Lepisosteus oculatus: one gene and its partner. The main gene of each other region encodes a partner of the protein of the gene in region 2 in a complex. Links are inferred from orthologs where the notes say so. Each region holds a gene or a part of one and is shown on either strand. Other genes may lie near its edges.

The links.
Region 1: the proteins of bmpr1aa (region 2) and gdf5 are in contact, whole or in part, in a crystal structure (PDB 3QB4), measured with the Homo sapiens proteins. The link is inferred for Lepisosteus oculatus from reciprocal best matches to the Homo sapiens genes BMPR1A and GDF5. Residues at the interface, in NP_001393490.1 of Homo sapiens: Gly65, His66, Cys67, Pro68, Ile77, Thr78, Phe83, Ile85, Glu87, Cys100, Met101, Lys102, Glu104, Gly105, Phe108, Gln109, Asp112, Ser113, Lys115, Ala116, Gln117, Arg120, Ile122; in NP_000548.2 of Homo sapiens: Arg399, Phe435, Pro436, Leu437, Ser439, His440, Glu442, Pro443, Asn445, Val448, Ile449, Leu452, Ser455, Met456, Pro458.

What each region holds. Positions count from the first base shown.
Region 1 is NC_090711.1:207,722-223,003, forward strand, and holds gdf5 (growth/differentiation factor 5), read right to left. Parts: upstream 7,021-15,282; 5' UTR 6,809-7,020; coding exon 6,703-6,808; intron 3,661-6,702; coding exon 2,798-3,660; 3' UTR 1,694-2,797; downstream 1-1,693. UniProt on the Homo sapiens protein: Growth factor involved in bone and cartilage formation. During cartilage development regulates differentiation of chondrogenic tissue through two pathways.
Region 2 is NC_090699.1:46,324,533-46,339,677, forward strand, and holds the start of bmpr1aa (bone morphogenetic protein receptor, type IAa), read left to right. Parts: upstream 1-8,910; 5' UTR 8,911-9,126; intron 9,127-9,196; exon of another isoform or gene 9,197-10,044; intron 10,045-10,178; exon of another isoform or gene 10,179-10,202; intron 10,203-15,145. UniProt on the Homo sapiens protein: On ligand binding, forms a receptor complex consisting of two type II and two type I transmembrane serine/threonine kinases.

The DNA of each region.
Region 1 (15,282 bases), on a different chromosome or scaffold from region 2:
TTGTGTGCGGGGGGTGTGTGATAGTCTTTATACTATCAGTGTTGATTATGTAGGTGTCATGCTCACTGCCAGATAGCAATTATATTTAATAGATTTTTTCCAAGCTTTGGCCTGTCCCATGATAAAATTCCAACATCTGTCAAGGAAATTCTAGCCTGAATTTACAGAATGTTAAACATCGGTCATGGAAAATAAAGCCAGATCTGATAATAAACCCGACAAGGAGGCTAAACTGCAGGAACCACAGCACAGAATGCAGGCCGGAGGTGTGCTTTCAGGACAGTGGCTGCCCATCACTGTGCCCCAGAGAGCAGGCAGCACTGCTCTCCCTCCAACAGCCATTGTCAAGCTGCAATTAGCAGTAAATTAGGTTACTCTTAAAGGCTCTTTGAATGGGATCATGCATATGTTTCTGATTACATCTGGAAATACAAGACTTTACTTTCATACCACTTGATCCTGTAGCATTTGATTTGCTCTGACACTCTGCCACAATCCAGGGCAGCTAACAGTGACACTGGAACATAATCCTGTAAACAATTCATGTTTCTGCTTAAGCTGCAGACCTTTCTGTGATCACGAAAACAACCTTATACAGTCCAGAGAGTATAATCCGATTAAACATTTTTTTCCATCGGGAATGCACAAATTCAATTCCAATTCTTAAATCGGTTCAAACTGCAAAGTACACAGAAAATTAAATATTTTAGATAGTCTCACTGTCCAGTGATCTAAGTTTGGGTTTGGAGTTTTACTACAAGTTATTAATAAAGTAACCTTGAGGTATCTTAACATAAATTAACACTTAATACATGTATTTTATGCGCTCCATCGAATGTACTCCCCCTGAATTCTTTACACTCACCAATACTAACACTTTTTTTTTCAAAATGTTCTCAGATTTTATCCTAAGACATCATCAATCAGAATTCTTAAATAGTTAACACTTGCCTTTTAACATTTTACCATATCACATATAGTAAGCCTAAGACTACATTATTTCCTAGCCCTAATTCTAATTCAACTCTGGGTTTGCCATTATACTAAATAATTGACTTATCTTTTCATTTTATATGGATATTATCTTTCTAAAACAGTTCCCAGGATCCACTGAAGAGCAGTTCCCTATTCTGATTAATCAGTTTGTATTAATTATCTAAGCAGGGAAACTGGACCGCTAACTTGCTCATAGTCTTCTTGAACTAGGTTCAGTCTCCTGGCTGCAAAAGAGCTGGATGAGCCAGGCTAAAGTTTATTATGTTCTTATAGCTTTCTGTTTCCCAGGGAATCCAATGTCCTAAGTCTTCACAACCTCTGGGACCAGTGTCCAAACCTAGTGTCCATAGGGCACTGAACAGGGAAGGCAATACAAGCAATTTAGCAGAATAAAGCACATCTCACCCAACAGCCACAGATGTCAAATGTGGATGTCTTGTCCTTCTCAACCACAAAGCTGTGAGAGAAATGTTCTCCATATCAATATACTGTTAGGCCGGTGGGAGAATTTCTGCTATGGAGAAAGGGATGGGGAAGGCACTTCACAACTCAGGCATCTTTTGCACTATGACTAAAGACATTCCTATACTAAACCCAGTAGGATTCTCATACGTAAGTGAGTTTCATGCAATTTACTAGAGTAACTGTGAAGTAAAAAAGCTGTAAAAATGCAATAACATATCAACAATTGCATTTGTTGTATTTAGAATTTACTGGAAAACATGTATTTTAGTGAATCAACTTGTGTCGTTGTAAATGAAAAAAAACCCACAAACTCTTCCAAAATGCAGCCAACAGCAATAATAATATGGTTATTGAACTGTCAAAAAAACACTTGGATTTAGGGCATACTAGTACACAATTATTAAACTCACATAAGGAAAATTCATTAACAACTACTGCAATATTTTTATTCTTTCCTTGTTGTGTAACATTGTAAAAAAGAAAAAAGAAACCAGCTGACAATTTTGAGAAGGGAGACAATATTTAACAGCAGCTCAGAGAAAACAAACAAGACAGATCAGTGTTGACCTACAAGACAGAGCAGGAGGGTCCACACTGTGTGAGAAGACCAGGAGATCTTCCATAGGAACAGTTTCATCCATATTTGCATTGCAAGAATGTCACCGGTGAGCTGATCACATTGTAAATTTTACAAGGACAACACTTTTTATTAAAATGATGGTCTGTAATCTGTATTAAAATATCACTTCATTTCATTCAAACAAGTATAAATATATAAACATTGAATTCTGAAGTTTACATCTTCTAATATATGTTGTATTAACAATGCTCTACAATACTGTTATCTACTGTTTTCAACATAAGGACTGAGGGCAGATTTGCAGGATTGTAACCGCAAAAGCATGTGTGGTTGCAACAGCCAATGGTTATTCCTGTTAGGGTATTAAGATTCTTAATTTGATCAGTTCAAAAGAGTATCAGAAAGTCCTTGTCTGCACAGGAATAGGAGGAGGCTAACACGGCTGATTCAGAAAAGAATACAAAGTTACTCAGCCACTTCTTGGTCTGGGAAATATGAAACATTCCAGTTACTGTGCTTATCCCGATGGGCCAGAGAAACACATTCAAAAGGAAACATTCTGAAACACTTTGGGTTACATTTTGACTTTGGTATGCCCTCATTTTTATGGAATTATTTAACTTCCTGAAAGCTATCCAAGGCGCTCAAGACACATGGTGTGGTGCCCTGACGACAGCTACAAGCCAGCAATCGCTTCTCTCAGTCTTTCTGAGTCCTGGGTGAAAGGGAGCATGTTCCCTGACAGGGCTGGCGTTGCTACCTGCAGCCACACGTCTCCACAACCATGTCCTCGTACTGTTTGTAGACCACATTGTTGGCAGAGTCAATGTAGAGGATGCTGATGGGACTCAGTCGGGTGGGCACACAGCAGGTAGGGGGAGTGGAGTCGGGGTCCATTGAGTTCATGAGTGTCTGGATGATGGCGTGGTTGGTGGGCTCCAGGTGGGAGCGAATGGGGAAGTCACACACCCCGTCACAGTGATAGGCCTCATACTCCAGCGGGGCAATAATCCAGTCATCCCAGCCCATCTCCTTGAAGTTGACATGAAGGGGCTTCCTGTTGCAGCGCGGCTTGGGGTTCTTCGTCAGCTTCTTGGCGCGGGAGGCGGGGGCTCTTCTCATCCTCCTCTGGGTGACCAGGTACTCGTACACTGTCTTGTTGTCATGGCCGGACCTAGCTTTGATCTCATTGTAAAACAGGTCTCGTCTCTTGGTCCTGCTGAAGACCAGGAAGAAAGCTTTCTCCTTGGCCTGCCTGCCGAGCCGGCTGAACCCCAGGCTCCTCAAGTCCACCGGCCGACCCCTGTCAGAGGCCTCCAGCTCGAAGCAGAGCTGGACCACGTTCTTGAAGTTCCGGAACAGTTTCCAGATATCAAACACCTCCCACTTAGGCACATCACGGTCCTCAATGCTGCGAGAGTGGAGAAGAGATGCCTTCTGTTTGCCAGTCTGACAGGTGAAGATCTTGAGAGTGAACAGCCCCCCTGTTGATCGAGCCTTCCTTGGGTCAGACGGCCTCTTCCGAAGAATGCGCAGCTCAGCTCCCAGCACGCCCTCCTTCTCCAGGGAGCTGATGTTAAAGTAGTACTTTTGTCTCCTCAACAGAGGGAGGCGGTCATCTGCAAGAGGCAAAGAGATTAACGTGTAAGAAATGTAGGACATTTAATCAATGGGGATACACTAAAACTCAGTACTAGTAGTCATTTGCTTCTATGGCTCTTTTTCCTCTTTATGACCAGCAAAGAGGAAAGTCTGCCAGACTGCAATCTTGACAAGGAAAAGCACAACTACTTTTTTTTAACTTAAAAGTTAGTAACTCAAAGAGATTAAAAAATGAAGTTAAGAAATTACTTTTTAAACTGGTCAAACAATTAAAATCGATGACATCATGTTAAAGCAATGGCCAGTGATACACTGAAGTATTTGGATTCTTGAGGATCAGACTGGACATTCACCATCTCCTTGTTTTCTCTAGGTTTAAACATTTTGGGTAATCAGCAACATACTGAAAAGAAACTAGGTGAAGTCTATGTGACTGATAGGCTTACCAGGCAGAGCTAGAAATCATTATAGAATAAGAGAGCATTACAATAAAAACATTTTTGACACAAATTGATTGTTTTATGTGTCTGAACTCATACAGCAGAATGAATCTATGTGTACATATTCAGCTCCCTTACGCTCTGTATTTGCTGTTCATCAGTGTTTCTCTGGAATACATTTGGACTTACGGTCTATAACTTGGACAATGCACAGTGATGCAAACATACAGTAAAGCTTAAATTAAGTTGAAGTGAGGGAAGAATGTATAGTATTTCAAGGAGTCATATCTCATCATTCATACCACCCAGCAAACAACTGTGAGTTTATTACAAGATTAAATACGACACACTTTATATTTGTTATTTTTTCCAACAGCACCACAAGCAAAAAATTATAAATATCATGCCAGAAATCTACCACAAAACATATGCATACATACAAAATACAATACAAATTGATAAATGGCTTCATATGTATGCTATTAACACAGAACAAACTTTTCCTTCATGACATTTAGAACATTTGAGCAGTTCGTCTTTTTCTGAGTTTGAGATTTATGGTCTAACACAATGCAAGATTTAGTCACACACTGAAAGGTCAGGCCTAAAATGTACAAAAGACAACTTGTATAAATACAGCTCAAATTAAAACTACATTAACCACTCGAAATGTAAACATTTAACGGCTATGAATATTAAACAAACATTGTTTAACATTCTTTTAAATTGTTTTACTTGGTAAAGAAAAAACAATACATTAAGGAGGCCACCTACCCCAATGCGATATGTTTGTTTAGTTTTCAAAGGCCAGACACTGAGCCAGCAAGGGCCACAGGAGTGACATTGTGTCACCTGGAAGCAGCACCTGGGGGCAGGGGGCTGTTCGAGTGCTGGAGGAGCATTTCTGCCTCAAATAATGAAGAACAAGCACTCGGGATCTCTGGAGGGCTGCGGTGTGTTTTAAAAACGATCACATATATTATATACATATGTGTGCGAGAGAGTGGGGTGCGTGCCAGAAGAGCGGCGATGCTTTGGGGACGGTAAGAAACAACTGTGGAAATCTGAAACAAGTTTCTGTCCGAACCCAACAGTGAATAAAAACCTGAAATTCACTCATTTTTCATGAAAAGCCATTCGTTGACAAGCATTTCTGTTTTCATTGATACACGGACGTTTGTTTTCCACAAGACACCACCAAAGGTTTGGCAAACTACGTAGCTTGTCATCGCTTGTCAGAGGCTGGGAAAATGTGAGCCCTGTGCAGTTTATTTAATGTACGCTACTGACGGTCGAACATTAAATGGTTCTATCAGAGGGATTAGGTACAAAATGCGGGTTTAACTCTGCGATTGAGGGTCTCTAGAGAAGCGTGCTTTCTCAGTTTTGGCCCAAGTTCCCTTCATGCCATTCTATACGAAGGGAATTGTAGCGGAACCTTCCTGAGTTGTTTAAATTAAATTGCATGTGGAGGCAATAAATTGACAGTTCTTTGACTTCAGCCAGTTACAGTAAGCAGCACCAATTTACTGTAATACAATTACGAAAAAGAAGGAAAAACATTAGCTCAGGTCCAACAAGATGTTGGCTTGCGTACTGGTTAACCACGCTAGCTGTGTAATTATGCATAATACTGAAACAGGGACGTATAAGGGTGAAGCAATCGCAGTCCAAGACGCTTCAGTAGCGCTCGGCTCCGTGACTCAAAGCTTTACAGCAGAACCGCTACGAACAGACTTATCGTAAGACTAAAAACGTCCACATCCGCGGCCAAATTTATGAATGAACAACGTGTTTATCAAAGGCAGAATCTATAATATAAACTAAAGGTACTTTCGAAGTTTCCGGTGTGCTGTATTTATTGCAGAAATAGTGTTGGCGATACCAATTTTTCAATTAAACACTCGTTCACCCTGTTGAGTCGGTAATGCGGTGCAGATTTGAACAAGCCGCAGGATCTGACCTGAGAGCCTTTGTGTCTGGAAAGTAAATGCAATTCAAATCACCTCTGCGAACGGAACCCCAATACAGTCTCTGTCCTGTAGTGGACAATCTCAAGTCAGTGTAAACGGTAATCTCCACAGAATAATGAATGTTTTCGTCCAGACTGTTTAATTATTAGTTAAGGACCATCATGTATATTTATATTTCATTGCCCCAAAATTCGTTACCTTTAACTTGTATATTAAAAATCTACAATAAATAGCATCATTGATACTGCTGATTTTATTGGAATATGGCAACGTTTCTCAATATCAGTCTCCCACTGTATTAACAGAAGGACACACATTGATGTAGTGATGATGAAGCTCATTTCTAAGCATGAAGGGTTGTCGCAATAATTAAACTGATACTGGATGATGATGATGATTTCATCGGACAGCTGCTCTTTGGAATCAAGAAATAGCAAGTCGATATTAAATGTCTTCCGTTAGAATTAAAATAAGTCTTAGAAAATACCTGTAAATTCTGATGTTCAAGTTCAACTACAGTATGTTTTTAAAACTGAATGTATCTTAATTTCGTTACATAAGCACACATACCTGCACAATGTATTATTAACAGCAGCAGTAGCAGCAGCAGCTGCAGTCACAGTAGAACATGTATACATTGTTTTACCTTGGCCCTTGTCCACGAAGCTGGTGATGGTGTTGGCTATCCCTGCCTCCTGGAGCGCGCTGCTGTTCACCTCGCCCGTGGACAGTGTCCAGTACAGGGACAGCATGTAGTCGTGGGGCGTCACCAGGGGGTGCGTGGAGAAGTCCCTGGGGCTCGCAGACTGGCCAGGCAGCGCTTTGGAGCTCCTCTGCGCTAGCGGGGAGCCTTGCTTTCGACTACCCGCTTTGTGCTGTTGCCCAGTTCTCGCAGGAACCGTGACAGTTTCGGGGACTGCCCGTGTTTTGCTCCCCAGCGGCGAGCTGGTGCCAGTGAGCGCGATTTGCGCGGGCACCCAGGAGCGAGCCGCTTCTTTTCTACCTAAATGAATTGCCCCTCCTGGGACGCCGTGTGCTGTCACTGCAGTCGCGGCTTTCGCCTTGGACGTGTCGCCCTTTATCAGTGGCTGTCCAGATCTGATTCGAGTGATCCGAGCTCCGTTCGAGGGTGCTCGCGTCCCTGAACCATGACTCCCCACCATCAAATTAGCGGGACCCCTAGACAGAGGGGCTCCTTCCTTTCCACCAGTCCTGCGACCTTCTAGCCTGCTCACAGATGCACTGTGTGCGGTCCCAGTCGGGCTCAAGGCCGCTGGGACGAAATCCAGGTATAGCACAGTCCAGCACCCCAATAAAAGAGGGAGACGTTTCAGTATTTTCATCCTCTGAACTTCCTTTGAATCTCAGCGAGAAAGAAATCTCCGCAGGTTCTTCCAGTCTTAAATAAGAAAACATGAACGAGCTTGCAAAAGCGCAACAGCAGACCCGAATTAAGTTTTCTTTGGACAATCAAGCTTAGCAAACCGTTTTCTCCAGCTCTGCTATTCAGAACCATAGTGATACGAATCGCTTGCTCCTTGTTCTGTTTTCCAAAGAGAGAGCAATCCGGGGAAACGGTTTGCATTGAAAGGAGAAGCTCGACTTCCCTTAAACTCCTGTAATTCTGCCCGATATCTTGTAGGAGACTTGTTTAAATCCCAGTTTTTCCAAGAGGGGAGAATGGCGTAATGCTGCCGCTGAAAAAAAAGTCTTTTTTTTTTCTCCAAAGTTTTGAACGTCGTCCAGTGAAAATATTTCACACACAGAAACCTGCAGGTGCTCAGAAATCTTTACAAACCTGAACTCAGGAATTGGAAACGGAATTCCAACAAAAACCAATTTAATTACTCTCTGATGTCATGCTGTCCAAACTAATTTAAGTGCAATATATTTCTTTTAAAATCTTCTTTGCTCTTTCCACAGCTATGAGTCATGCTCTACATGAAAAAAGCCACTAAGACCAATTCTTTGCATTATGTCATTTAAAGAAGCCGTTTACTTAAGTCCATAATATTTCTTTAAACAAAAGGGTTAAGAGGCTAAGACAGAAATGTGCGTTTTAAATTTCTAAACTGTAAATCTTTTAAGTTATAAATGGAAAGTGCAGGTACAATAATATATTGCCCTATATGCTGTAACTATGTCCCACTTAGACTATTTAATTTGAAACATTGGGATGAAATATAATTTTAAGGTTAGACTTTGTAGCCGCAAATTTTTACATTTTTTATGAGAAGTGAACAGAAAAAAAATGCATCTTTTCAGGAAGCCTGATTGCCATCATGTGTTTTAAACACCTTTTTCTCTCAACCTAATTCGCGGGATATTCGGCTTCTATTTGCTCACATTACTGGTAAACAGGGCCCTCAGGATTTTGTGCTCATCTGTCAAAGCAAAAAAAAAACTCAGTCAGCCTGCCAATGCTGTACCTCAGCTGATGCAAGTCAGAGGAAAGTGTGTCAATACCAAATACACTCTGAACAGTCAAACAACCTGACTTGACATGGGAGACACCTCCATGTAAAAAGTAGTATGCTTATTATTTTACATGAAAGAGAAAATAATTGAAAGAAAAACTGAGACCAGAAATCCATTCCCTACACACATTAGGACAGACATATGAGGCACGGGGATATCTGATCGGTGCTGGAATACTCTGGTCTGCCTGACATGTCAGGCTCTGAGCTCCGTGATGCCATTTGTACGTTCAGCGGCCCAGGTTCAGAGTCCTGACATTGTCTCTCACTCCCTCATTACCCTGCTTGGGTTCTCTCCCAGGGGCAACCACTGCTGCATGGATTTACAGCGCTATAAAGTCTCCGGTTTTAAGTCATGTCATAAATATAACAGACTGTGCAGTAGAAATAATTAATTGACAGAAATCACTGTTGAAAATTGGAAGGTTGTCGTGTTTCCTGTGGTTTGTGTAAAACAACATATGTTGGCTTTTTTGGGGGGAGGGGGGTGATTTTTTCTGCTTTTATTTAAATGTTCATTGACTTAACTCTGCAGAACTGAAATTAGAATACCTCAAAACAATAAGCTCACTTAGCGCTCAAGAGCTGCTGTAATAGAATTACTAAGCTTGTTGGGAGACGTCAAGCTTGTTTTCTCAGTAAGGTGTCCCCTCTTCTTCTCCAGTTCTTTCCAGTGAAGATCCAGCACTCTTGCTTGTCACCAGTCAGTGCGCCTCTTGGCCATGATGTACTGTAGTTATGGTGCAGATTTTTCTTTTAAGAATTTTTTGTTTGTGTGGTTTATCCTACTGAGATTTTTATAGTCTGTCAATTGACTCCTATTCTCTCATCCACATATTTTAACAATTAGAGAACTCTCCTGCCAGCTCTCTAAACTGACTGCAGCCCATTGAACAGGCCAAGCCTTCAGAATTCTCTGTGTGAGAATCAGTCACAAGTGATTATATACCTACAAATTACAGGCAATCAGAAAGCTGTTTCCACTGTAGAAATTTACTAATTAATTGCAGATTGAATGTTTCAGTAGCACTGTGCATAACAATTACGGGGCAAATGCAGGATAAGATTTACAGTTGAAGTGATCACACTTTTTCTTCTATCAAAAAGCCCTCTTACCTCACAGAGACATAGAATGCCTGGGGTGACCCCTATTTTATCTCTTGATTTATCCCAGCAGAACAAGATAGTGACAGTCTTTTTAATCAGATTTCAATCAGATTAATAATATTTTTTTAATCTCATCCCCACTAATGACTGCTTAAAAAATGTAACCAGATACTACAAAAAAAGTGTTTCTTCAAAAAAGTTAACTTTAAATGTTTTGTTTTATTTTTTAGAATGAAAATGACAATATGTATGATAATCATTATCACAATCTTTCTCTGGATTTTAAAAAAAATCTTACTAATACATTTGGCATTGTCCAGATTTTATGTTTTTATCAGACATATTCCAATATTAAGCGTTCTGAGTAATTTCCCCATTAACACATATGAAGTGTTTTGGATCTCCCCCGTGTTTCAGTGCAGAACAGACCAGGACGTCCTGCAATGAGATGGCAGACTACTGAAGTGGGTCGCCTTAATGCCAAATAAAGTGTCACTAGATTAGCCATATTCCATTAAGATACATTGACAAGGAGAATCAAATCACTGATGATCACAGCTGTGCTGGTCTGACTTTGGATGGCTCTTGATATGATCTGATACTTATCTAGGAGCAAATATTTACAGTTCTTTCTCCAGTGTTTGCCTACCCTCAGCATTGCTACATTGCAGCCTTCCAGAGAATACTTCTGTGACAAATATAAATGTTCTAAATGCTGTGAACATTTTAGAAATACTAAGAAAAGTAAATTAATTAATAACCTATAGATGTCAGGAGTGTTCTGTTTCTGGCCACCTCCTACTGCTTGTTTAAAACTGACATAAGATTGCAACACTAGATCCATTCATTCTCTCTCTTCCTTGAAACCTATTCCAGCATTGCATTATGCATTACTCGATGAACATCTTTCACTCTTTTCATTGTGCAATTCAATGTGTTTTTAAAACAGTCTTCAATTTGCAATAGACCATCATACTTTTCACTTTCTCATGGTCCCCTTTACATTCATAACGGTCTAGTTTCACTGAAAACAGTTGAACTGCTACTGTCACTGTTAGTCTGTTTGTAAATATTAAATAATAGCTCACTCATGAAAGACTTCCTTTGCTTCGAAAAGGCTGCTTTTCTCCCTTTCTCTGACAAACTCCTGCTCTGCAGCTCTGAGACACAAGCTCTCACCTCTGCTCCCGACCTCCCTGTGCTAGTGAACATCTCCAGAGGTAATGGGGTCACTGTTCCCATTTTCCAACCCTTTCTCTCCATCTCCTCTATCATTCTGTGTGAGCTGTACCTTAAAGATAGATTTTTATATGTCATGAGGCCAAGATAGGTTGAATATTCTCCTCCTGTCTGCTATCTGTCTTATATTCCGCTCTTGAAAAGCGCTCCTATTGCAAATTTCAAATGAATTTAATGTTATATCCACCCTCTAAGCAGTGTAGTATTCTGGTCATCCACTAGGTGGCAGAGATGTTAAAGTCCTCGTTGAATGACACACCCTGCTTCCAATGGTCAGGTGTGGAATCTTTGTGAGGCGCAGCCGTTCTCTGTGGCGATGGAGCCCAAGAGTTCCCCTGTGATGGGAGTTCTTCTCTGCTGAAGCAAAGGCCAGAGGGATTGTTGCCCACAGAGCCTGTGACATGCGTTTGGTGCAGAGCAAGATCACATACTTGTGGAACAGCCCAGGTTTTGTCATCTAAGCAGTGAAATTCTTAGTATTGAGGGTCTATAATTAGCCATGTTTGGTAGTTAGCTCTCTAAAAAGTTGCATATTATACACTGTGTCCTGTTCCACAGCTAGCAATAACATAAGAAAGGACACATTCAAGAGTTGGCCACTGCACCCATCTTACCTATTTGGTTCTGATTTGATAATTAATCTGTCCCAGTACCCCCATCCAAATAATTCTTGAAATACCATAACAGTTAATTTCAACAAAAGATTGATTAGATTGATCTAGACACTTACTACTCTTTGTATAAAGACAACTTTGGAAATAAATCACATGAGGTTTCATTCTGTTGGCAGAAGAAAGAACCCCCCATGTAGATTTTCATTTATGTTTGATTCACACGGAATGTTTTGTTGAACCCTTGCTTAAGAGTATCAGGAAATTTCATTGCAATGTGCTGAATATGCTTTGTTTGTTACATTTAACTAGAGTGACCCTCAGACCTGCCAGAACATCAGCTGGGATGGTTCTGATTTCAAGTACTAGAAGATTCCAGTCATTCTTGTATTTTACATCCAAAGGAAACAAAGTAGTGCTGGTAACTGTACTGCTGTGCATTGGGCTCTACAGAAAATGCATGAACAATACCTTTAGGTCAGCTATAATGTTCTGAAATTGATTTAAACATGAGCACCAGTAAGTTACAGTAGCACTGTGGAGCAGTGGTTAGCTTTGATACCTTGCAGTGCTGGGGTCCTTGGTTCAATTCCAAACCTGGGTGCTATCTGTGTGGAGTTTCTCCAAGAGCCCCAGTTTCTTCCTGCTATCCAAAGACATACTGGCAGGCTAATTGACTTCTGGGAAAATGAGCCCTAGTGTGTGTCTGTGTCTGTGTGTGGCCTGGATGGACTAGCATCCTGTCCAGGGTGTATCCTGCCTTCCACCCATTGCTTGCTGGGATAGGCTCTGAATTGGATGAAGTAGTTAGGAAATGAATTGATGGATCAGCACTAATGCCTCTTTAAGACAGTTTCTAGAATTTCTCATCCTATAGCTATCCAATGTATTACACATAGAGAACTACAGTATAGTCTTTCATCTCATATTTACAGTGCAACATTTTGTTTATTTTGAAGTAGGCAACAAGACGATGTTCTGTAGCAGATACTCTTCTGAGCAGTAACATAACAGTAACTTCAGTTCATTTTTTAACTGAAACTAGTCTGCATTCCATTTATTTATGATTAATTATAGTTATTAGAAATAGCATCTTAAAATTAATAATATCTAAATAGCAAAAGTAATATATCTGCATGCAACAATGGACCTTTTGTTAGTAACATGTAAATTATCATTAATATCCAGGTCAATTAGCTGCTACCTAAAGTACTAGATGGCTCAAATGGCCTCCTCGCATTTGAAACCTTTCTTGCGTTTTTACAGCATCTTAACTTTTCTTATTTATATTTTTCTCTTACTAGGATAGAGGTTAAAACTTCACCATTTAAAATCATGAAAATCTTGGCATGATCAGGCAGAAGAGAATAGTGCTAGCTATTAGGCAGATAGTGTTAACTATCTGCAAATGAGAGAGTCCCCTTTGGTTTTTAGATTAATTATTGGAGTAGCTTCAGCTCTGCAGCTAGCAGACATTAGGCAGCATTGGTACACTGTACTCTCATGAGCAGTCCAACCTGGCAGGTGCTCAGGACACAGGTTAGAAAAAACTTTAGTCTGTTCTTCTCTGACATGTTTTTTTACGTCCTGGTCCCTGGAAACTCTTGGCCCATGGTGTTTCATCAGATTCTATTTGGAAATGTTTTGTAAGACCATGTATCAAGGATTTGAACTTGTATCATGTTGTTTGGGGTGGTTTTTATGAGATGAACGTAGACAGAATTAAATAAGAAATTAATCAACTCAACATTGAAATTAGAAGCTGTAGGTTTCCAGGAGTCCTGAAGAGGACATAGATCTGTCATGGAACTTGTAATCTGCACAATAAGAGGTGGGTCTAATTTTCGGTTTCACCTGGGTCCTTGTTATCTCTGCCTGCTGAAGAAGAAGAAGCTACAAGCAGCCTGCTGTAGTTCTGCTGCTCTGGCTCTGGCTTCAGAGGGAGTCTGGAGAAGAAAGAAGTCTCTATATCTGAGCCATGTTGTTCCACCTGAACTGCAGGTGTTTGCTTTGCGTGCCTGTGGCTTTGAGTGGTTAGGCTCCATTCATCTTAAATTCGGGATGGAAATGTTTGTGTTTTTTTTTCAGCAGCTGTGAAAGTCTTAGCATCTTGTCAGAGTTCCTTAGCATTTTCCGTCATTTGCTTTTCCTCATTTTTAGGGCCCTTTCTCAGTTATAATAAACTAATGTTTCAAGTCGGCATGCAATTGCATTAATCCTTCTGAAAAGAATGGAAAAGAGTGAAAAGGCCCATGGTAGCAGTCGTTCCAGGAGCAAACGTTGAAAACAGGGTTTAGAGAATGGCACAGTGCATCAGAACTAGTGAGGAAAAACCAAAAGGAGTTTATAAACTTTACACTCTAATACTCTGTTGGATGGATGATACATATTGGTATTAAACATTACCCCCTAGTCTTCAAAGGGTTTCAGGCAAGGTAAACATGCATCTGACAGCACTAAAAAATCTTCCAATGTGTCTAAAGTTGACAAAATGAACAAACTGTATGTGTGCTCTTTAAAAAAACTTGCTAGCCAGTTATGACTCATTTCTTTATTTTACCAGATAAGTCACTGAGAACAGATTTTCATTTCCTCTGCCAGTCTGGAGATGCTTTTAGGTTACAGTTAGAGTTCGGGTCAGGAAAAGAAAGTCGAATCACCAAAGAATCAAAGCAGATCCAATCTTGCACTTTTATGTTGTCCGTTCAGATGATCCTATTTATCACAAGGATGTGTCTTGACACCTTCTATAGGGTGAAGGGTAACCTGAGAGAGGGATTTCTGGGCCTTTTCCTTTAGATTCACGTTGGTCTTTAGGCCTTGGCCTCGTCTGGCAGAGCTGCCCAGACGCCATTACCTCCAAGGTTGCAGAGCCGGTCCGCGATCTCCTTCCCACAGCGCCTCCCAGAAGCTGTTTGCAATTCTGCAGTGCCGTTTTTTCTCCTGACGCCATGACTGCTCTCTGCGCATAGGCCCTAAATTACTGAGTGTGGGGACTGTATTTAGTTTATTTTTGTGAGGATACATTTCCTAGCAATCAGTGCCAGGCACAATATTATTCTGGAAATATACAGGTATTAACCGATAGATTTAAGATGATAAAATAAACCAATGTGCTGGCGATTGGCATGGAAGAACAGAACTGGGATTGTGAATGGTCTCTTTAATGAAGCCTATGAATGAAACTCAACCACTAATAATTACCACCACACCCAATAACTCCAGGTGATTCACACCCCTTCATTTGTCTTTGTTGTTTTGTTTTGGGTAACCTTTCAAGCAATTTTCTGCATGTCTGTCCAGCAGGAGCTGTGACTTGTGTCTTTATACACTGCACAGACAGAAACAAAGTTAAAGACAGCAGCTGCTGGTTTAAAATTATCCGTTTTTGTTCAGAAAGGCAATAATTCCTGGAACAGAGAACAGTAAGATATGCAGTGTTTTAGAACAAGAACAGAGGTCTGCTTTTAGCCAAGAAACAGCATTAGCCTTGGCAATTACTCATATAGAATTCCTTAGACAGACAGACAGATAGAAAAAAGGTGGCAGTATTCATTCCTACCTTTCGATGTAATGTGATAGCTCAAAGCTAGTGAGTAATACTGTCTGAAATTCAAATATTCAAAGCATGCAAAATACAAATACACTGACCAGTTCAATCTCTAATTAGTGTAGCATGACCTGGCAGGCAAAAACAGAGTTATGGCATATTAAATTACTAATGATAATTATGCACATGTAGCATTTCCCTGCTTGTGAAAAGATGATGTCATTGTTATTTCCATTCATTTG
Region 2 (15,145 bases):
GTGATGTGTCTCTCCTCCTGTGTGTCTCTGCCCTGGTGCTGGGTCTCTCCCATTCCTGTGTGTCTCTCCTCCTTGTGTATGCTTGTGCCTTGGTGCTCTAGTCAATGTTCTTCTTTCCCATCCTTGGATTTTAAACAGAACTGGCCACTTTGGATTTGTTTCTTGGACTTGACTGGTCCTTTCAACATTTTTGTTTTAAAAATTTTCTTCATACTTTATTCTGGTCCCTCAGGTGTCCGTTTACACAATTTGTACACACTGCTTATATTTAAAGTTATTATTTCAAGTTTGAAATTGATATGGTTCAGCAGCTGTTCAATATGGGATGTGTGCTGCTGTGCTGATGTTAGCATGATAACATCAGTTCTCATGGCATGCAGTGATTTTCACTCTCTTAAGTTTAATTTATTGGATCTTTTTTGTTTGTTTTTTTAAACACAAGAATTTACCAAAAATGGCCTTTGCATTGTGATTGTGTTCTTTAATAATGTTTTTGAGTTCATTTACTGTTTTTTGGCATGGACTGTGTGGAAAGATTAGGAATGATTTATTTTTTATTTATTACTATTATTATCTAGTTTATCTAGCATCTCAAATAGTAATTTAGTAATGTTTTGTATAAGTGAGGTGTTTTGCTGTGAGGTGGGAATCTCACGATGCACGATTTTATTTGTTTTGAATGGAGAAAAGATACCTACAAATTAGCTTTACGTACAAAATACTGAATTCTGTTGTTTCAAACAGTGATGCCTTGGAAGTAACATCACACACAGAACAAAGCAGGCACGGACACAGCATTGTAGAAAGGACTGATGCCGAATGCTGATATATATACTGTACCTGGGCAGAGAGGGGTTGTGAGACATCTGAACAATTACCTTGTGTGCTGGTGTTCTTGTTTCACTAGGACAGGAGCTCTGTGTTCTCCATGTTTAAATATTACAGGAATTGCCACATTTTAACATACTCACAAAAAACACCAGTACTAAAATACCATTGTAGATGCTTTACACATGTTAAGACCAAGTTAAGATCAAGTGTTAAACCCTCTTCAGACTTCTGATAACATTATATGTGCTTTTTAAAGCTCAGCATAAGGGCAACAAAAGTCAGACCCCTAGCCAGTTACAGGAGTGAAATCATAATCACAACACAACAATCAATCCTACTGTGTCTGGCTGTTGACTTGGCCATTATTTTGCCTGTGTGGGCTGGCGGTCCAGCAATTTGATCCACAGTAATGGTTTGGAAGAAGGAGCTAAAGGGAAAAGGGAATACTGGCAGCACAGGGATGATGTGATGGCAGTAGAGTTCACGACTGTACTGGTGGTAGATGGTTTTTCCTTCTATCTATTGGTGGGGGAAAACAACAAATTTACTCTTGTAAATAGAACTGATGAGTAAGATGTTAAACTTAAAGGTATTGTCTGCCTGTCAGCAAAGACGTTGATGTACCTGCTGGTTCTTTTGTATTGTAAAAGCTTTTCTAATTCTCTGTGTGTCTTTCACTGTGATAAAGGTTTCTATCATTTCCCTTTGCCTGCAGGGACTTTTACTGTGAGAGCTGAGTAGCACTTCTTTCTGATTGTTTCACTCTTGACACCAGAGCAGAAATACCATTACAGAGTTTACTGTTGGTATGTTTTTATTTGAAACATTGTTCCTCACTGTAGTAAACTGGAAGCTCCTGTATTTAATATCTGCATGTTACACAAGAACGCATGGGTGGAAATGATTTGTCTCCAGTAAAAAAGTAACAGTTCTGGAAAAAAAAATGAGTCTGTCTTTTATTTAGCACCGAAGGAACACCAGTTAGTACTTGCAGCCTTGGGGCTGCTGTGATAGGAAGGTGCTGGGGCTGGATGGCCCAGATGATGAGTGACTCTAAGAAACCCAAGGAGATTTACATACTCTCGACCAAGACTGCAAGCTGGAGGCTCTGTTCCTAATGAGGTTCATTTTTAATTATTCATTTTGTACCCACCAAATTTGAAATTGCTGATAGTTTCTGTATTTCCTGCCTCCCGATGACTCCCTACAGGGGAGGAGGAGGCGGAGGAAGAACAGTCCGCCCACCCAATGAGCGCTGAGCTATTCACCTGCAATTTTCAAACGCTGGGACTTACAGTGTAAACACATACTGGATGGTTAATTGGCTTCTGGGAAAGTTTGTGTGTCTGTGTTTGTGTGGTGTGCTTTGTGATGGACTGGTGTCCCAATCAGGGTGTTTTCTATCTTGTGCCCATTGCTTGTGAAGGTAGGCTCCAGCTCCCCTGTGACCATGAATTGGATAAAGCAGTTAAAAAATGGATGGATAGATGTTATAATTGTGTATCACACTAGAAAAGTCTTATTTACACTGTGTACAATTTTGGTTACCATCTTATAGGAAAGTGAAAAACAAGCAGATGCACGAAGAAGAATCAGATGTGTTACTGGGCCTAAGAGATAAAGGGACTGGACACAATCATTCAGAATCCTCAAAGGTATTGGCAGAGTCAGCCTGGACTGCATCAGAATGAACAGTGAAACACTGAACAAGAGGACATGAATGGAAAGTGCAGTGAGAACAGGATGCACTTAATTACATAAAGGGTTGTGGGAGTGTGGAACAACCTACCCAGCCACATTCTTGGATGAGATCAATCATCCCTTAACAACCAAATGGGCTAGATGAGCCAAAAACACTTGTTTGTAGATGCTCGTATGCATTCTTCCCAGATGCATTTTTAATGCCATAGGTTTATGGTTCCTTTTTTAAATCTACAGATCCTTATCAGCAGTAACCCAGTGCTGCACAGCCCAGCCTTTACTGCACCCTTTTACTGTTGAAGGAGAGAAGGGGGCAGAACAGTAAGTGCCCAAGAGGCTTGTTCCTTTGTAATTGAGTTGGAGAGGTTAGCCATCAAATGGATCCTGGAGAGACAAGTCACCTTGGAAATCATTACAGAGCTTTTGAACCAGTTGAGCGACTTGCGAAGGACTGTATATCTTGACACCTGTCATTATCAATCACCTGAGAGGTGATCTGATCACTGGAAAGGTTGGAGAAGGTGTGATGGGGAGCCTCTCAGTGGGTGCTTTCACTCCAATCACAGACACAGAAAAATGAAGTAGTCACCTAGGTGGCGACTGGGCCAGCTACCCGCCTTTTCCCATAGCGCCATCCGCAGGCTCAGAGAGGATTCTCCATACAGGCAGGTACATACTATAACAAATACATTACTGATAAATACAGTATATAGTCTGGAAAGGCAATGTAGGTATTTATACAGAGTATCACCTTATGGTTCAGGTGGGTAGCTGCGTCAGCATGCGTTGGCTGCAAAGGAACAAGTAATAGGTTTATTCCATGCTGAAAGGAGAAGAAAAAAAGACAACATTTCGGACACCTGAAGAAGGCTCCACAGCCGAAACGTTGTGTTTTCTTTCTTCTCTTTTCAGCATGGTATCACCTTATGTTGTACATAATTGGTTAATGTTTGCTTAATGGTTATTAACCCTTTAACAGTTGTTGCCTGAGACAGATGAAAGGTTGGCAATGATCCAGCTGGGCTTGGTTCTATTTTGGACCTCAGAGGGAAGAGGCATTTCCCTTATTCCCACCTAAAGTTCAAGGAAGCCTGTTGGCTATGGAATAAAGGAAAACAGTTGGTGTTATTTTTCTCCTCATTTTGAACCCGGTCACTCTTAATATTTGGCACTGTCTGGACTTTTTCAGTTTCCTTTTCGAGTCTTGTTTGGTTTTGTGCACCTGTGCTGATTAGACCCGGCTTGGACTTCATGTCCAGAATCCCAGAGCACCACCTGCAGAACCAAACTTTACGTCAAAGGTTGGCAGAATCAACCAAAGTAATAATAAATATCCCAATGCTGTCCTGAAAACAGCTCGAAGACAGACCAGACACCTTCTCATCTCAGAGGCATATTATACATGGACAGAAGACAATGCTCAGAATGACTGTGTGACTGTTGTTGAGAGAGCCCAAGTATTCTCTTATTTCCTGAAACTTTACTTAATGTTCTTACATTTAAAAGAAGTGTGGGCTGATTTCATTTACTGCACATTGTATTTCAGAGAATTTTGAAAGACTAAATTCCTAATACAGTGCCTCACACAGTTTTCACATTCTGTTGCCTTTAAAGCTTGAAGTTATGACATTTTGAAGTAGGAATTATTATTTGCTATATACACAATCTACTCCACATATCCAATGCAACAAACAAAAACAAGTATATTGATAATATGAAAGGAAAATGAAAAAGTCATGATTGTATAAGTATTCAAATCCTTTGCTGCTGCAAACCTAAATTAAGTTGCACAAAATTACCTTAATGAGCTTCACAATGAATTGTGACCTCTGTCTATGTGGTAGTGGTGGTTCATGTGTTTCAGAACGGAACTGGATCCTCAGAACCAGGACTGATGGAGAGCGCTGGTAAAGTTCAGCACAAGTGGACACACAGCAATCTGGAGAGAGAGGAAACATGGAACAGAGGGAGAAGTAGCACTGCACATCAAAATGAGCCTTCAGGTACAGGAACACAATCCTTTTAGATTGCTACTGTAGCATCCATCCACACGAAAGGGCCACAAAACCAAACCAAGTAATTCTAGAACATTACACATTCAAAGGAAAACACAAAAAGAAAGAAGTAAATAATAATAATAATTCCCTACACTTTTCTGGACACTCTGTAACAATGCGTAGTTCAGGACAATATACAGACGGTATAATCCGGATATAAGTGGACAACAGGGAGGAGACGGCGAGGATCAGGAGGGGTTGACAGACAGGGGGGCGTGACAATGGTGAACTGGTGCTCGGGGCATAGCCAGGGCGAACAAGTTCAAGGAGTCCAGGGGGTAAAATCCGGAGCGAAGTCCAAAAGTCCAAAACCGGGTGACCCAACCGAGACAGGACAAAACAGAGTTAAAAACTGGAACGTTGATCCAGTACAGGGACAGGGAATGAAAACAGCATGACGAGGCCAGGCGCTCTGACCCCCGGACTCAGCTGGGTCAGGACGCCGATAGGAGGCCAATGCCCTCAAGCCGCGGGCGTAGGGCAACTTGATGGTAGTCAAGACGGGCGTCCGTCTTCCAATGCAGAGCCGGGAGTAGCAAGAGCGCCCGGATTTAATAAGGAGGGGCAGGATTGGGGTCAGGTGCACATAATTAGCAAAATAAGAAAGAGCCGGAGTGCCCTTAAGAGGAGGGATTATGATCGTGACATACTCCGTGGCAATGGGGACTCCCCTCCACCACCACCAATGTGTAGCACCACCTGGATAATGCGATGGCAGCCATAGTGCGCACAGTACACTCACCACACAGCAGCTAAATAGATTATATGGAAAACAATGTAAAAGTCATGATTGCATAAATATTCAAACCCTTTACTGTAGAAACCAAAATTAATTAGTTTAAGTGGCCTTTGTCTGAGTGCAATAATAGTGGTTCAGATGATTTCAGAATAAACATACCTGTCTCTGCAAGTTGCAGAACAACTCCATAACAAAGTAGTGTAAAGGCACAGATTGGAAGAGAAGTATAAAAACATTTCAAAGCCTCTTAATTTCTCTGTGAGCATGCAGAGGTCAATCATTAAGAAGTGGAAGACACTTCCCAGATCAGGAAAACTGACCTCTGAACTGAGCAGCCTTGGCAAGGAGGAATCATTGAAGCCAACAGCATCATCAAGAGTTACATAATTCAGTGGCTGACATAAAAGAAAATGTCCATAAGGGAACAATACCCCACCTGCAACACAAATGGATTTGTAACGGACTGAAAAAACATCTCCAATGTCACATGGATTTGGCAACAAAGCACCTGAGTGATACTGCAAACATGAGGCAAAGATTTTTGTGGTCAGACAAGACGAAATTGAAAATGTTGTTGTCCAAGTGCAAAGAGTTACATTTGACACAAACCCAACATCCCTCTGACTTATGAGAGAAAGAGCCCTTGGTCAAGCCTCACTGTACTAATGCTAAAGCCAGAAGTGATTAGAGGATTCTGATTTCAGCTGGCTGAATGACTATGCAGAGCCCAGGATTGCCCAGTTGGGATACAAAGAATCTTGTCCTCATTATCTCATTGACATCCCACACACTCCCTGTGGCTCCTGACGATCTAGGCCAATTCAGGACCAGCCAAGAACTTGGCAGATGCCAGATTTAATGCAGACATGTGCATTACACTTGTAATCCAGGTAAAGATCGAGATCGAAAACACTACTTCAGACAAAATTTAAATGATTTCAGTGTTTATGTTGACACACCCTTCACATCTTCTAGACAGTATGGGGAAGCAATAACAAAAGGAAAAAAATAGGATAAATGGTTAAAGGTGTAGAATTTAAATCAAGGGATGTTGTGTTGAAATTATACAATACAGGGCTATTTATTACTGCTCAATTTGTATCACTCTGGCATCAGCCCAGAGAAGAGGCACCACACACATTCTGGAGTTTAAAGATGACTAACAGGCAGAAATAACTGAATCTCTTCAGTTGTGAATACAATAGACTGCAAGCAAACCTGATCAAAATAGACTCACTTATCTCTAACCTTGATGTTCTTATGTCCCAGACATCTTAGCCTTAGTGCAGAACTGTTATAATGCAATATTGTCACTGTATTGTACTACCATCTGCAGAAGCAACTGTGGATGACTTTCTTAAGTCCTTGAGCCTGATTCAACTTATACACTGCACAACTGGGAAAGTCATGTTTCAACAGCCAGTATAAACTCCAGAACAATTTCTGCAAGAAATAAAAAAAATAAAGATTCTTTCTGAGAAATCTTTTATTTTTGGAGGGTCTGTGAATTGAATGGTGCCCTGTGTTCCATATTCAAAATGAGAACAAATTGGGTAGATCAAATCTACATTCGCACATCCCCCTACTACCAATAACAAAGCCAGCAGTCATTGGAGTGTCTCTGTAATGTTCACTGTTAGAATCTTTTCACCTTTTAGCTCTAATTGGCAGTAATACAGAGAACACACTACAGGGAAGTTTTCATTTAAGATGCAGTAATATAAGGCTATGCACTCATACACAATTAATACTACAAGGTGCCCTGGGGTATGTGGTTTTAAAAACTGGATTAGGAATATGGTTGACACCTTTTCCACAGTTAGCTCCCAGACAAGAACTCTACATCCCCACTAGTTGTCCAAGTCTGATATCCTTTAACGGCTCTATCCTGACGTAAAGTACAGGCTATGGGCTCCATAGATAGTAAACTTATCAGAGGAGATAATAGGCAGAAAAAAAGAGACTTTAAAAGATACTTAACCATGCACTAGGATGCTACTGTTTCTATCTTCTACAGTATCTATTTCTAGCAGGTTATACCATGATCTAAAAATGGGGCCAAAGTTCATTTGTTCTAATACAGTTTTTAGGTGCTGTTTGTTTAAGCAGTCAAATGCCTTTTCCAGGTCTATCCCTAAAATGCACAAGGGGAGGGAAAGGTCCTCTGAGTACAGACAGACATCCCCCCAACAAGGCCAGGTTGTCACTCATTAGGCGTTCTGGTATCCCATAAGTCTGTTTTTCCCCTATTAGTGATGCCTCTGCCATTTGTAGGTAAAGGAAAGGGGTCTTGGACAGGACCTTAGCGTCCAAACCTAACAGAGTGAGAGGTCTCCAGTTCTCAATGTCATTTTTCTCTCCTTACACAAGAGAGATGGTGCTTTCCCTTAGAGAGGCAGGCAACAATCCTAGTGTACCTTGAAGCTTACTGATACAGTTGCCATAGCCAGTGTTTGAGCAGATCCAAACAGGTGCAATGAAATTCGTTAGCTTTCCCCTCCTGTAAGTTTTCCATTGCATGCTTTAGGTCTCCTAGCAATTTCCCATCTTCTTTGCTCAAAAGTTTTCTAGCTTTGAGGTAAAATACTGAATTTCTTCGTTTTTCACTTCCGTATATAAGTTATAAATATGAGTTATAAAGTTTGGAGTAGAAGTTGTGGATAAGGAACAGGATGGACAGGATGGCAGTGACACTTTCCATGACAGACTATGAGCCTCCACTTTAATTGGCTTCTGTAAGAAACTGGTCCTGGGGCGAGTGTGAGTGTGAGTGTGAGTGTGAGTGTGCCCTGTGATGGACTGGTGTCCTGTCCACAGTGTATACCGTCTTGAGCCCATTGCTTTCTGGGATGGGCCCCGACTCCCCTGGGACCCCTGGGATAAAGATGTTAGAAAATGGAGGGATGGATAAACCAGTGGTTCTGTAGGATGGTCCTGGAGGTTTGCTCTCAGCTCTTGTTAGGTCAGCTGGGATCTGTAAAAGTATTAGTCACGTACTCATGTCTGAGTTTCAGAACTGCTGTCAGACAGGAGTGCTGCCTGAAATGTAATGATTGGACATCTTCAGGAGGAAAAATCGCTCATTGTGAGTGTTTCGGATACAGTGTCATTCTCATCTCTGAGAATCGGCTAGTTAGTCACATTGTTTTTAAGGCATATTTGTATGATCTCCATCTGTAGCAACTGAAAATGTATACAATAACCCTTCAAAAATCGACAATTATATATATATACTTATGTAACGTAATTAAAACATTTTGAGATCAGAGAAAACATGCAGAAAAAAAGGTAAAATGCACAGAAACGTTCTTTTCATACAGGTCTAATTTGCAACATGAAATAGAAAACGACAAAGCAGAAAATCCATTCTCTCTCCTCTGGCCGCTCCCGAGTTTAAATGGGCTTGTCATCACTGATGTTTTTGTGTGACTTCAGTTTGTGTGAAAGGATGAGTTTGTGTATGAATCACAATTTGTAATACCGCAGATTCGACCCTTTCCTTCCGCTTCCTCTGAGAACCTGTGCAGGTCTCTCACCAGGTGGCGGCGTTCCCTGCGCGGCGCGAGGTCTGGAGCGCAGTGATTGGAGGGCTGGGCCGGGAGCAAGCTCGCGCAGGAATGCGTCGCCGGGAGAGACGGGCGGCGCGAGGGGGAGGGCTGCGTAGCTACCGAGGGACAGAGAACCCCGAGACAGCACGGGAGACGCGTGCCGCCGCGCCGCGAGATTATCAGAGACGCGAAGTTTCACTCGACGCCGAAAGGAGCTGGTTCCGCGCAGCAGCTGGGCTCGCCTCTTCAGGTAGGTGAGCTTGATTCCCGCGTCTCGCCGTGGCTGCTCGGCGGCGGGGGAAAGTTGACTGCTGCTGAGTCAGTTGAGGTGTCCCCGGCCGCTCCGAGAGGGCTCGGGTTGTGGCTGCGGTCCACGGTGGAGGATGGTTTGAAATACCTGACTTCGCTACAGCCGCCTCTGAGAAAGTGGCTGGGCGCTTTGTGGCCAACCGCAATCGACTTTGGCCTTCCCGCTTGTCCTTGTTGACGAAAAAAAGGCTTCAATTGTAGATGATTCTTCTTATTTTAACGCATTCCGGAGGCAGTAATGGGGTTTGGAAATAACACGGTATCCTAGTGATACGCAATATGGATCAGGCTTCTATAAATAGTCCCCACTGTGTTTTTGTTTGGTGCTGTATTTTTTTTTTAAACTTAATTTTGGCTAGTGTAAACACCTGGACGAAATAAACGATGTACGTAGCGAAGGAACTCGCCAGCGCAGCGATGTATCAGCCCGAAATGACTCCTGAACTGTGTGCGTATGGCTCCTCAAGATGACGGCCGCACGCTGCGCTGCCTCTCCAGCGTGCGGTGAGCGCCGAGGTGGGAGAGAGCGCCGTGCGCCCGGCCGGAGCCGAGGAGCAGCTGCCCGTGGCCTGTGGGGCCCAGCGAGCGCGGCTGCCCAAAGATGGAGGAGAGCGGACTGTCTGAATAAGCGGCGCAAAGCGTTCCCACCAGACCCCACAGTCCCGGCTCCTTCCGGGCCGAGCTGCGTTACAACTCAGTGAAAGTTTTGGACAACTTCTTGGACTGAAGCGTCCAACATCTCTGATGTATTTCAACATGGTGGTTATTGAAGCTGCTTATCGGACCCCAGGATTATTCCGGAGAACCTCAGTCGTGAGGGAGCAATGTCTTACGTGCGCGTCATGATTATTATTACAAGGTAATAATCTGTATCCAGGTGCACAGCTGCCCGAGCGTGTGGGTTGGGCGTTCAGTTCTTGTGAGCAGTGCCCTTCAACTCGGGAGCCCTTCTGGGGCACCTGGAGGAAACTGGACTGGCGGTGCTCCGCACAGCTGGCCACAGGTGTCTGATTGGGGGTATGTTGACCGCAGACAGTTTAATTACGATACACATGAGCGAACTGCAACAGGAAGATTGTTGTATTTTGCCATGATTGCTTGTAAACATCCTAGGTGCGGTGTGAATGCGCATGCGAGTGGACACAGCTCTGATCGGACACAGCGGCAGGGGCTCAACCCTCTGCCTGAGCAGCGCCGTTCTGAAGTTACCTCTCCAGTTTGCGAATAGTTCGTCCCGTGAAGAAAAACATTTTACTGATAAGGATCAAGACAATTACTGTTAACATAAAACAGAAGGTTAAGCCTCCCTAGATTCTTCATCTGGCACCCAGAGTGTGTTGCGAAAAGCGTGTGGAATAGCCCAGCTCTGTTTCTCTCTGCCTGCTCAGTCATGGTGCTTTTTATGCACCGTCCTCATCAAGCAGCACTTTATCAATCGTTTGTAAAGCGTCTCTCCTTTATCTTCGGTCTTGTTTTGTTGGGGGTTTATACCGTTAAATCGTGTATGATCAGTGTTTACGGTTCTGTGTTTTTATTTTCAGGTGGTTTAGTGTTTGCAGAAGCTGTTTTGCAAGTAGTCTCAGCTGTTTTTCTGTTTTTCTCAGCTGACCTTTTTCTTAAAATGCCCGTTATGTGAATGTGAGTACATCAAAGGGGCCACTGTAGCTAGTTTCTCTTTGAGCAGTCTGGTTTTGGAGGTACTTTAACTGAAATCCATTTGCCGTTTAAAGCTATTTATTAGATGTGTTCTGTTTACTGTAACATTTCTAAATACATGACACTAGATGTAGTTTCTTGTCAAATCATGTCTGAATGAACACATTTTCAATATGTGTAAATTTGCAGTTAGAATTAAAATCATTTGATTTCTGTGCTATTCGTGTATCCCAAATAAAGCCTCACATTTTAACAAATGGATAACGAAGCAGAAGTCTGGGTTACTGGAAAAACAATTCTAAAAATGAGTGGCTTGTTCAGTTGGAGGGAGAACATTGACATTTGCCTTTAAACCAGGTAACATTCTTCTTTGCTTCCAGATATGCACTCACAATCCCGGCTTGATAGTCCTGCCATTAGTTTGAATTTTTCTAGGCAAAATGTCAGTTCTGCATTTTGTCTTGGAGGCCTTTGCTTGCCGGAGTGTCTGTCTGGTTGGAGCTGTCCATGCTTGGTGATCAGAGAGCAAAGCTGCTTTTAATTTAGTGGTGGGGGACTGTTTTTCTTGAGCTGAAGGGAGAGCAGCAGAATGGAGGGAGGTCAGAAAACAGATGGAAATGCTGAATGTGGAAATGTCTGGTTTGAAAGCCTCTAGAAAGTGGGGAAGGGGTGCAGAAAGTTTCCTTTTTTCACGAAATGGAATATAAAGACTAACATTAAACACATGCCAGACAGCTGTGCATTCCGCAGCTTACTCTGGGTTCTCTGTTACAAAAATAACACAGCCGAGTATCTGGGAGCAGAAACACAGAGCAAGACAGTTGAAGGGCTCGGGTGAGGCCTGCTTCAGGTATTCCAACAAAAAAGTTTTAATGGCTTTTTATAGTCTGGAATATTTGTTGCTTTTACATGAGCTTCCGTTTAAAAATTATTCTATTACAAATTAGTCATTCGTGTGCCTGATTATTTACGTGGTGTGTCCCGGTGATTAGTGTATGAGCTGCCATGGCTGTGAGTAATGGTCCTGACCTGCATTACAGTGCCTTAGAACAGGGGAAAAAAAGGTGCTGTGCAAAAGGTTCCACACATGATAGGAGGTGGTGGGGGAGGTTAAGGCCTCCAGTTCAAACATGACTTGTATATAATGTGCTGCCTATTGGAGTGAAATCTGGGATTAGGTCAGATCAATAAAGAACAGTGCAGGTTTAGTAAGGCACAGAAAGTAGTTTTTCACATTTGGGGAGTGGTGCCAGCATAGGCGCAGTTAAAAAAATTGTGCCCTGTGTCAGACTAATAGCAATGCAAATTGTTCAGCACTCACAGTTTTATGATATGGTAAATGTAATGAGGATCACCATGAGCATCGAGCTGTTCAACAGCTGCTTTAGCAGTCCAGAGGGGATGTGAAAGTAGCACTAGAATTGTATGAAGATTAAAACAAGTCACTAAAAATGATTGCGGAAGGCTGGCATAGTCCCTGAGCTGCACAAGTGCACATGCAAGATTTGTTTAGCATTCCTAGGCAGCAGCAATGGTGCATAAAGCCCTATGAAGTTCTTCTGCCAGCGCACGTTAACTTGTGAAGAAGACGTGGCTCTCTGAAGTGGAGAGGGTTGTCACTGGTAGAACACAAGTGTGACCTCTGATGGTGCTCTGAGCAGGAGTCAATCATCTCATCATCTCTAAAACTGTGCAGTTCTTTGCAGCTCTTGGTTACTCAGTGGTACTCTTCTTCATGTTGGGAGAGGAGGTGGGAGTTATATGAGGGGTTCGAATCTGTACTGTACTATAGAACACTTCGTAGGTAGGTCCCTTTTCAGGCAATAAAGGCCCATGGGGAATGGGAGGGCAAGGGCCACCATTTTTCTCGACCATCCGACACTGGAGGTGGGGGTGATGCGGCCAGCACCACCCCCCAGCTGGCCTATTACCCCCGGAAGCATTAACCCCCGGTACTCATTTGGAAAGCAGGCTGAGTGGACCTGGGAGCCGTCTGGAAGATATTCAAGCAAGCTACAGTGCTTGACTCTACCTCGGATTGAACTCGGGACCTTCCAGTCAGGAGCGTATTCATACTGTTCGAAATGCTTGCTGATTCCAAGCCTTTAACCTTAATTTGTGCCGATTTTGGTGTCATTTGTGCATTTTACCAATGATGCAATGCTAATTCCATTCAAGGCAAATGCAGTTCTTGACCATTTTAGCAGCAATATGGCTGTGTTAAGGCCACGTTTCCCTCTGCATCAGTCTTTGATAATTTGTGAGGCGTTCTCTTGCTTTTACTAAATTAGTGCTAAAGTCCTTAAATTGGAACTTGTGCCAGGAAAAAAAGGATCACCATGATTTTAAAATATTTTTTACTTTTTTAGTGCTTTTCAGGTATTTTGGTTTTGAAATGTGGAAGATAATTTAAAAAATTTATAAATTCTAACCTTGTTAGTTAATGCCTTTTCCTCAGACATTTTACTATTGTTTTTCTGGGTCCTACACAGACTATTACAGTCAAGTATTTGAACATTAAAACATTCAAAAAATTATATTGTGTAATTAAGTCTCAAACTAAAGAAATAGTTTCTAAGGGAATTGTGTGATACTCTCATTCTGCACATGAAATTGCTGGGGTCTGATTCTGTACCCAGCATCAGAATCTGTGAATGTGCAATAGTAGGTTTTGTAACAGTGTGTGGACTGTGGTCTGAAAGTCCTTGTCTCTTGAGGAGCATTCTGGGTGTCATTTTTAGTAATTAACAGTAATTGGCTTTACTGCCGCTTTAGCCATTTGCCCTTGTTTTTTTAAAAGCACACATTGGGGCATTCTTCCCACTTCCTGTTCCTAATCCCCCAATACTGGCTCTGCTGTTAGCAGTTGCTATGCTGGTTGTCACCCTTCTTGTCCCTGTTTTTGAGGAGCTCAGTAGCAGTGCTGTGAAACCAACCATTTTTTTCTTTGCCATTCTTGAAAACCCAGGCCAGTGTCTGTTGGTCGGTCAGTGCTCAAACTGAAGCTGAACAAAAAGCCATGAAGGAGAAATGCAATTTGAAATACAGGAATGTTGTCGTGAGAAGTGTGGCTTTATAAAGTCTGGATGTATGTATATAGATCAAAGCAGAATGGTTGTTTGCTGCATTAAGTCTCAAGTTTTTTTAAATGTGACATCAGTGGTGTAGATGACTGTACCTGTGTACTCACAGGGTCCTTTATATAAATAAGCACAGCTTTGCCATCTTTTAAGTTGTTCAGTATTCTTTTAGTATGCAGCTTGTAGAAAAGAAACGAGATGTTGATTCCTGACCTTTGGATACCACAAATGTGTGGTGTTCCGGAGCAACAAGTGGTTTACGTTCTGATAAGTTGTGCTTTATGGTTTCTTTAAATATTACACAGAGCTTTAAGTAATTTCATTTTGTGGTTATCTTGTCTGTCAGTTGCAGAAGTTTTCAGTGATGGGGGTTCACATTCAGCATTGATAAGGTTTAAAAATATGATTCTATAAATCTAGATGGAATTAAATAGAAAATGTGGAACAGATTAATTACCAACAAATTTAACACAGAAAAAGGAATGGATTACCCAGCTGTGATATTGCAGAGAGGTATAATGGGCTGTCACAAATTGCAGAAGAAAGCGTGATGATGAAAGACTAAAAAAAGTTAACTTTAGTCTGTATAATTATATAAAACATAGGTATTATGTAACTTATAGCTACAATCATTAAAGCATTTTCAATACTCTCTGGATAAACAAAAAATGATTGCAAAATCAGGATCAGGTGGCCTTTTAGCTAATTCAGCACCACTAAAGCTATGTGGAGGACTTATTCTATACAACAGTGCTTTATAATAATGGGCTCAGATACAGTACTCCTGCCTTATAAATTGAGATGAGTACTGTAGCATTCCTTTACAGGGACTGGATCTTTAAAGTTGGAAGTGTAGTCCTTCATTACGCCTTTTGTGAAAAATGTATTTTCTCCACTTCATCAGAGGAATAATGGCTGTCTTTTTGTTTTTAGTTTTTGCTGAAAAGCTTAGTTGAGCATGTAAGTTACAAGTGCTGTTCGAAAACCACTATGGTCACCTTTTCTGTTGTTCATGCTTTTTAATTATTATAGGTACAGTACTTATCAGCAGATAGAACAGAATGCAAAGCCTGGTTCTGATGCCTTAGAGCTCCCTCTCTTTCCTCTGAGCTGTTGGATCTCCCTAAAGGCAAATTAAGCCTTGAATGGCCTGTCAGAGCAAATACCAACATGCAGGTTGTTGCTTAATAAATTGTAATAAGGAAATACAAGGTAAGAGATGGG